2 linked regions of the Arabidopsis thaliana genome follow. The protein of the gene in region 2 interacts with the protein of the main gene of each other region in a pairwise test. Each region holds a gene or a part of one and is shown on either strand. Other genes may lie near its edges.

Evidence for each region.
Region 1: the proteins of AT1G33080 (region 2) and EMB3135 interact in a protein complementation assay, tested with the Arabidopsis thaliana proteins (one large-scale study listed by BioGRID).

Annotation. Positions count from the first base shown.
Region 1 is NC_003076.8:3,829,046-3,833,350, forward strand, and holds EMB3135 (harpin-induced protein), read left to right. Parts: upstream 1-2,454; 5' UTR 2,455-2,724; coding exon 2,725-3,588; 3' UTR 3,589-4,106; downstream 4,107-4,305. Other genes in the region: AT5G11880 (Pyridoxal-dependent decarboxylase family protein), read right to left, coding at 1-21, 116-290, 395-897.
Region 2 is NC_003070.9:11,983,674-11,987,978, forward strand, and holds the start of AT1G33080 (MATE efflux family protein), read left to right. Parts: upstream 1-1,976; 5' UTR 1,977-2,078; coding exon 2,079-2,351; intron 2,352-3,456; coding exon 3,457-3,998; intron 3,999-4,305. Other genes in the region: AT1G33070 (MADS-box family protein), read left to right, coding at 1,111-1,408, 1,502-1,626.

The DNA.
Region 1 (4,305 bases), on a different chromosome or scaffold from region 2:
AGTAGCTACATATGGATGCACCTAAAATGGTAACAAACAGAAAAAGCTCATTCATATCCAAGCTAAAGAATAGATTCTAGGACATGCTGCTAAAAGATTGAAAATTTAACCATACCTGAGGATCAACATCAGGATTGATACGCAACAACACATTGACCTGCTTACCAGAAATTCTTGAAGCTTCCACAATGTTATTCAAGTCAAACTCACTATCAACATTTACGAAAACACCTTCTTGAGCAGCTAGAACTAAATCTTCCAAAGACTTTCCATTTCCATTGAAAATACACCTATTCATTTCATCCACACCGAAGACATGGTCAAAAACTACACATCAACATGAGACCAAATAAAAAAATATTCAAACTTTATTATTGGGGATAAAGAATCGTACTTTGTGGGATCGAAACCAGCAAGAAGAGCAAGCCTGAGCTCATTTCCACTAACCAACACAGCACCACAGCCCAAACTCCTCAAATGCTCCAAAATCTTGAGATTGTTATTAGCTTTAATAGCGTAACCAATAACAGATCTCACTCCTTCCAAAGCCTCTTTATAAGCCTCAAGGTTTCTCGTGATCTGAGGTTTGCTATATAAGTAAAAGGGTCGTTTCTCGACTGTTTCCATGATATCTTGAACCTTGGTTCCTTCGCAATAGAGAAACCCATCTGATGATTTCTTGAAACAGTGGTCGAAAGAGGAAGCAGATTCTTTCGTGAGGGTTTTGGTGGAGTTTTGGGAAACGGCGGCTTTGACGGAGAGGCGTTTAAGTGGCTTCAATGTTGACTTGAGAGACAAAAATGGGATTCTTGAGAGTGAAGTCTGATTCAATTGGTACTGATTTAGGGTTCCGCGGATTGATGAAGGTTGGGAGAGAAATTGAGTAACTGCCGCCATGGCTGGAGGATTTTTGTTAGGTGTGCGACTGTTACAGTAACACTGAAGGGTTTAGAAAAAAAAAGTCAACAAGTTTAAGAGTAGTTCCTGTCGGGTCCGGTTTTAGATATCCGACAATATCGAACCGGTGGTTATAGTCGAACCGATGGTTAAAAGAAGAAAGAACAAAGTCGATTTTAACTTCTTTTGGATATGGTTTTTGTCCTTGGGGGATAGTTTCTGCTAGTGTTTGTTTTGTTCGGTTGTGTTAGTTGTGTGTTGTAATAATCTTGATGCTTAAGGGGTCACCTAAAGCAGTCATGGAAATCTAGCCCTATCTATAAAAATTTGCCATTTCTCATCACCTACCAATACTTCTATTTGTTCGTATTATGCGGATATTCAGAGGATAATGTAAAACATTTTGTTGAATGCTAACGATGAAGTGCTCTATCTAGCCGTGCACGTTGTGGAGAAGTTATGTTTTAGAATCCACATTTGTTGAAGTTATGCTTATCATACTCTCTTAATTATCTATATCTATTACAAAGAGCAAGGAATGTTCTTAGTTAGGATTTGTTTTGTTTGGCAACCATTGCTTCTGGTTATTTGTGCTCTGCCTCCTTTGTAAGTTAGGATTTGTTTTATTCTTACAACTTTGCTTCTCTCGTCATACTATATAATCTCTGACTATGTATGTAATTGCATTCATGTCGATGGTTGTGGGATGTATATTTAGGTGTTTGACTGTAAGACGTTAAAAACAAACTTTACCATAAGTTATTGGGATGTCTAGACACTTTTATGGTTTGGTGAAGTAGGCTCAATGTTTTGCCCTTTATGTTTCCATTGTTGATGTTTATGTACCTTGCTGGTTGGAACCACTTGTGGATGTTTCCGACAATGCTTCTCTGTAATGCAGTTATCTTTTAATGAAATGTGATCGATCTTGAGTGTTATTTATTTTTATTTTTTTAAAGACTTTATGGTGTGGACACTTGACCGGGTGATAATTGGTAACTATACTACATAGTTAGAGAGCTCTTGAATTATTAATCACGCTAAATCTTGGGAATTGAGAGCTCGGAAGCAAAGGTTATTAACAAAATTCAAAGCAGAGCAGCATTGCCGATGAAATAATTATTGACTTGGGATTTACTCTCTGAAGTCTGAACCAAATCGAGATTATTCTAATTATATTTTTAATTTCGGATCCCTAATCTATTAATACTCCAATATCTGCACTCATTTAATTATTTCCTCTTTTTTTAACCTGCACTGACTTAAATTCAAACTTATTTCAATTGCGTGCACACTTTAGTGAACTACTACCACTATCACTATATGTGTCGGTGGATTATTATTTCCGTCATTTTGATATTTAATTACATCTTTAATTGTTACTCTTTTTTGCCCATTCTTCTTCTTCATTTGATTACATTATACTCTATTGTGAATTACTAAATTCTGAAAACAAGAAAAATTTGAGTACACAGGACACATCTTAGTATTACTCGTTACTAAAATACTACACGTGTAAATAATTTTTTCAGAAATAAATGGGGCCACTTTGTAAGTAATAAATCAGCTTACATTAATTATTTTACCACCCAATAAAAAGATTCCACAGACTTGGCATGGAAGTCATGAACATTCACAAAAATCTAAGAAAAACTGAAAACCGAAAAAAAAACAAATTATTAAAAAGCAATAAATAAATAAACTCAGAAAAAAAAGCTATTAAGATTCCACAAAAACTCTGTATTGTCTCTTTCTCTCTCACTATCTCTCTCTCTTTTGTGAGCTCAGATCTGACCAGAGAGAAAGAAACAACCGGAGAAGAAGAAGATGACTGACCGAGTCTTCCCAGCTTCCAAACCACCAACCGCCACTAATGGAGCTCCACCAGTTGGTTCCATACCACCTCCTCCAGCTCCGGCGACTGTAACCAGCAACGGAACAACAAACGGAATGGCTAATCAGAAACCTCAAGTCTACATTCCAGCTAACCGTCCGGTTTACCGTCCACAGCCTTACAGTCGCCGTCATCACCACCAATCTCGACCAAGCTGCCGACGAATTTGCTGTTGTTGCTGTTTCTGGTCGATTCTGATAATTCTGATCTTAGCTCTCATGACTGCAATCGCCGCCACCGCGATGTACGTGATCTACCACCCTCGTCCGCCGTCGTTCTCCGTCCCGTCAATAAGAATCAGCCGCGTGAACCTAACAACCTCCTCTGATTCCTCCGTCTCTCATCTCTCTTCCTTCTTCAACTTCACTCTAATCTCAGAGAATCCAAACCAACACCTCTCTTTCTCTTACGATCCTTTCACCGTCACCGTTAATTCAGCTAAATCCGGTACGATGCTCGGTAACGGAACTGTTCCTGCTTTCTTCAGCGATAACGGTAACAAAACTTCGTTTCACGGCGTGATCGCTACGTCTACAGCGGCGCGTGAGTTAGATCCGGATGAAGCTAAGCATCTGAGATCAGATCTGACGCGCGCGCGTGTAGGATATGAGATCGAGATGAGAACTAAAGTGAAGATGATAATGGGGAAGCTGAAGAGTGAAGGAGTAGAGATCAAAGTGACATGTGAAGGATTTGAAGGAACTATACCAAAAGGTAAAACTCCAATTGTAGCTACTTCTAAAAAAACTAAGTGTAAGTCTGATCTTAGTGTCAAGGTCTGGAAATGGAGTTTCTAGAGGGAATTTTGATAATTTCACAATTGAAATTTTCTATATAATCTTCTTCTTTTTTTCTTCTGGATTTTGTGAAACTTTTGGAATGATCCAAAAGGAGATTTCTTCAGTTGTTAGTTAAAAAATTTCAGAGAAGAGTCAGAGAGATAAGGTATTGTCAAGTAGAAGAAGGCCAGAGAATTCACGGCTTCTAAAAAAATTTCTTGGATTTTTGTTTTGTTTGGAACTTTCTTACTTGAATTTATATTTAATGGATACAGAAATATAAATGTAATACTTGTAACGAATGGAGTACTAAAAAGCTGGAGATTGCAGTGACTGCGTGATAGTGAGCATTAAAGTGAGATCGTAGTAGTAATAAACAGAACCTTAAAAATGGAAAAGATGCGTGGGGTTTGTGAGGAGAACAATGAAGAACACGAGAGATGTGTTAAATGTTAGATGTTGAACCATCTATCGCATTATACAACACCATTTAAGAGAAACGTGAATCGTCTTTAGTACTCTATAAAGCAAGCATATATTCTAGCAGTTGCATGTTATAAAATTAATACAGATCGATCACTCAATTCATGAATATGGTTTGATATAAACATTAAATTAAATGTCATGCTGTCATAAAAGATGAATTATATGGTTCATTTATCTAAGAAACTTTTTATTAACTAAGTAAGTAAAAGTTTGAAGAGGTCATTTGCAAGTGACTCCGACCAGGGATAG
Region 2 (4,305 bases):
TTACAATATCTTTATTTAATAATTATTTTGTTTCCAGCACATAAAGTATCTACAATACTATTATTTAATAAAATAACACAAAATATTATGAATATTTCTGATTTATAAGAAATAAGGTTGAATTTTGATGAAATTCAAAGTTATTATATTTCACATATAATCAGGTTACCTAAAACACGAATATAACATATGTTCTTAAGTTAATAACATTATCTAAAAACTCTTAAAATGATCCAAAATGTCAACTGTAACTCATAAAACGTTAATGTAGATTTTAGTACAAATTTAAATTAATATATTTAAAAGTTTTATCAATCATAATTATTATATATTTTGGTGATTTTTAACAAAACTTAACTAATCTTTCTTTTTTTTTGTAATCAAAACGCAAACTAACGAAACCAATTGTGAAAATTTTGATTTACAATATTAAAGTATACATAATTTATTAAAAACATAACAAAAATAACATCATTGAAAACCTTTATAAAAAATATATAACTAAATGCTGTGACTACTTTCCTAAGTTTCTCTCAAGTTTTTTTCAAGTTTTGCTCAATTATTTATTTGGTAAATTATATGCAGAAAAACAAAACAATTCCACAACTTTTTCTCAAGGTTTTTTTTTTGTGTGCTCATAATTTATAAATTGAAATTAGAAAGATACATGAAGATTAGGCTTCATCGGAGAAATCCGAGTAACAAGTTCGAAAATTGAAAAGCTTAACCATACATAACTCAAACATAGAGACACGAACTGCAGTAAGCTTGATAGGGGAAGAAGTGTCGAAACTAACTAACACAAGCATGCCCATGAGGAAGGGACGGATAACGAAGAAACTCCATGAGTTGACAACTCTCTGCGAAGTCAAAGCATGTGTGGTAACCTACAGTCCGTACGAGAATCCAGTGGTGTGGTCGTCAACCGAAGGTGTTTAAGAGGCGGTTTTAATGTTTATTAAAAGGCCGGCGATAGAACGGTCCAAGCTGATGATGAGTCATGAGACCTACTTGTAGAACCAAATTACCAAAGAAACAAAGAAACTGGAGCGTCTACGTCTTGAAAACCGAGAAACTCAGCTTACACATTTTATGTTTGATTGTGTTGAGGGTAAGATAAGTGAGCATCAGTATGGTGCAAGGGACCTTCAAGATTTAAGTTTTCATATTGATCACTATATCAATCAGCTTAATTCCAGGGTCAAGATCCTTACAAACAATGGTGAGTCTTCTTCTTCCGTTCCTCCTCTACTTCATACTTCAGTTGCGGGTGCGGGTGCAGCTCCTCTTCCTGTTGCGGGTGCCGATCTTCCGATGGATCAGAATCAGTATGAGCCGATTCAGCTCTATATCCCTATTGGTCTTAGTTATCATATTCAATACCAACATGAAATCTATGATAATTTCAGTTTGGATCCAAATCATTAGTATCCGTTTCAACATGATCCACTCATGAATATGTTGATGGAATATCCTTATCAACAAGTGGGTTATGTTGGAGAGCATGCGCACATCCTTTTCATGAACGGAAACTACTACAACTACCACCAAACACCAACCGTTGGTCTTACTACCACCGGTCACATGCCTTCCAACAACAACACCACCCCCACCACCGATGTGTGATGTGTTTCAATAGTTTGCATTTTTGTTTTGTTCGTTTCAAAAAACCTTAAACTCTTACAACAATTAATTGGATTTGGTTTGGTTATAAAAGATGTGTCTATTCAAACACCAACTTTTGGTAAAATATTTGTAGAGGCCATACCTCGCTGTGATATATATTTCGACTATCTCATCCCATTTTTTGGGTGATTTGTTCAAAACTAGCTATGTCTTTTTCGGTATGCAATGTATAAATGTAAATGTAATTTTGACAAATTTTAAATTTTATTTAAAATTTATTTATGAAAAGTATTCATTTTGCATATAAAATACCAATTTGGCAAATTAAAGAATCTTAAAAAGAGGTGTAGGCCGGCTTTTCATTTCCTCCGTACGTAAATAAACAACCCACCAAACAAAAATCTCTCCTCGCTCCATGCCTTCTCTACTCTCTCTTCATTCTCTCCTAAGCTATGGCGAGAAGAGAAGGAGAAGTGACGGAGACCCTTCTGAAAAAGTCGACGGAGAATCGCGGAGAAGATCGGGATGGGTTAGGGATGAAGGAGAAGGTTTGGAGGGAATCTAAAAAGCTATGGGTTGTGGCTGGGCCGGCGATCTTTACGAGGTTCTCCACGTCCGGACTATCTTTGATAAGTCAAGCTTTCATTGGCCATCTTGGCTCTACCGAGTTGGCCGCTTACTCCATCACTCTCACCGTTCTCCTCCGTTTTAGTAATGGTATCTTGGTGAGTTTACTATAAGTCTATAACGATTAGATCAGTTCTTCCACACACTCTTTACTACAAATTCGTAAAACATAAAAACAATTTTTTTTTGTTTTAATAACTATTAATATATGTTAAGGATTGTTCTGATTAGTTTGAATGATATAAATCGTACTATATAAACGGTGACGTGAATGCTTAGATAGACTTCTTGTGGGAACTTGTTTTGGTTGATTTGTCAACCAATCATAAAAATTCACAACCACTCAACTCTTTGCCTTTATGAAATGAAATTATGCTATTTCTATGTATATAAGATATTGAATGTTTGGAAGGCATTGTTGGTCGTATACTCTTCGTTTATTGTTAGTGTAGTTACCTTTTTCACATAAACAAGTCTCAACTGAAACTCCATGAGTTTTGATTATTACATCAATTATTATTAATGGTTGGAAATGCAACAAAAACATTTCATTGTTAAGTAGAATCAGTGGGTAAATACAAAATAGAATAAAGTTTAGAAAGTTGGAGAATATAACAAACACCTTTAACCAAAAAAAAGTTGGAGAATATATTGATTTTATAAAAAGTGAAAAAAAAATATTGTAAGAAATGACAAAAAAAATAAAGGAATAGTCAGAAGATTAATTTATATTAAGACAATATATTCCCTTTTCTTATTTGTACTCCATAGTGCAACAAAGATAACATTGTCAAGAAGTATAGCGAGTCATTGGCCACAAATGTCCAATGGTCACCTGCCAATGCCATCGTTTTCTTAATGTTTTGGTCTTTAATTAGCATATCATGTGTGAGGTTCGAATTTATAATATGAAATAGTGCTTTTAAAATGTTATTAGACCATTGGACATATATTCAGTTACACCAAAAAAATTCAATACACAATATATGATCTCTTTACCAACAAGAGTTTATAGGTTATATACATTTTTTAGTTATCAACATGCAATATCCAAGTTTAAAGTTTAAATATTATAGTTGTTTATATATAAGCGTTTATCAAACCTACTTAGTTCTTGTTTTATAGGCAAAATATGTAAAATATTTAACCATAAAATAGTTTTTTTTTGGTGTAATAACGAACCGTCAATGAAACAATATGCAGTTAGGCATGGCTAGTGCGCTAGAAACACTATGTGGTCAAGCCTATGGAGCAAAACAATATCATATGCTTGGGATCTACCTCCAAAGATCATGGATCGTCCTCACAGGCTGTACCATTTGCCTTATGCCCATCTACATCTTTGCAGGCCCTATTCTCTTGGCTTTAGGTCAAGAGGAACGCCTTGTTCGTGTGGCTCGGATCATAGCTCTATGGGTCATAGGCATCAACATCTCCTTTGTGCCTTCCTTCACTTGCCAAATGTTCCTCCAAGCTCAGAGTAAGAACAAGATCATCGCCTACGTTGCTGCTGTTTCGTTAGGAGTCCATGTCTTCTTGTCGTGGCTTCTAGTGGTTCATTTTGATTTCGGGATCGCTGGTGCCATGACCTCTTCGCTCGTAGCACATTGGTTGCCTAACATTGCGCAGGTTTTATTTGTCACATGCGGTGGATGTACGGAAACGTGGAGAGGATTCTCTTGGTTGGCTTTCAAGGATCTTTGGCCCGTTTTTAAACTATCTGTATCTTCCGGTGGCATGATTTGGTATGATTTTCTAATCTTCTCACCTGGTAAAAGTATCAACATCCATCAACGACATAAGTATATATTTACTAGTCATACAAATACTTTTGTAGACCATGTGGTTGTAATCATATATATGAAAAGTTGACCAACTCTCTCCAAATGATTAACACATCATCACTTTAGCATTTGCCATGTGTCTACTAAGTAATTAATGTAAGCTCTTCAACTTCTAATTTATAGGTTAATGATATATTTATTATTTAATTTTACATATTTAATTATAGTATTACTAAATTTATTTTAATATTACATGATTTTTCAATAA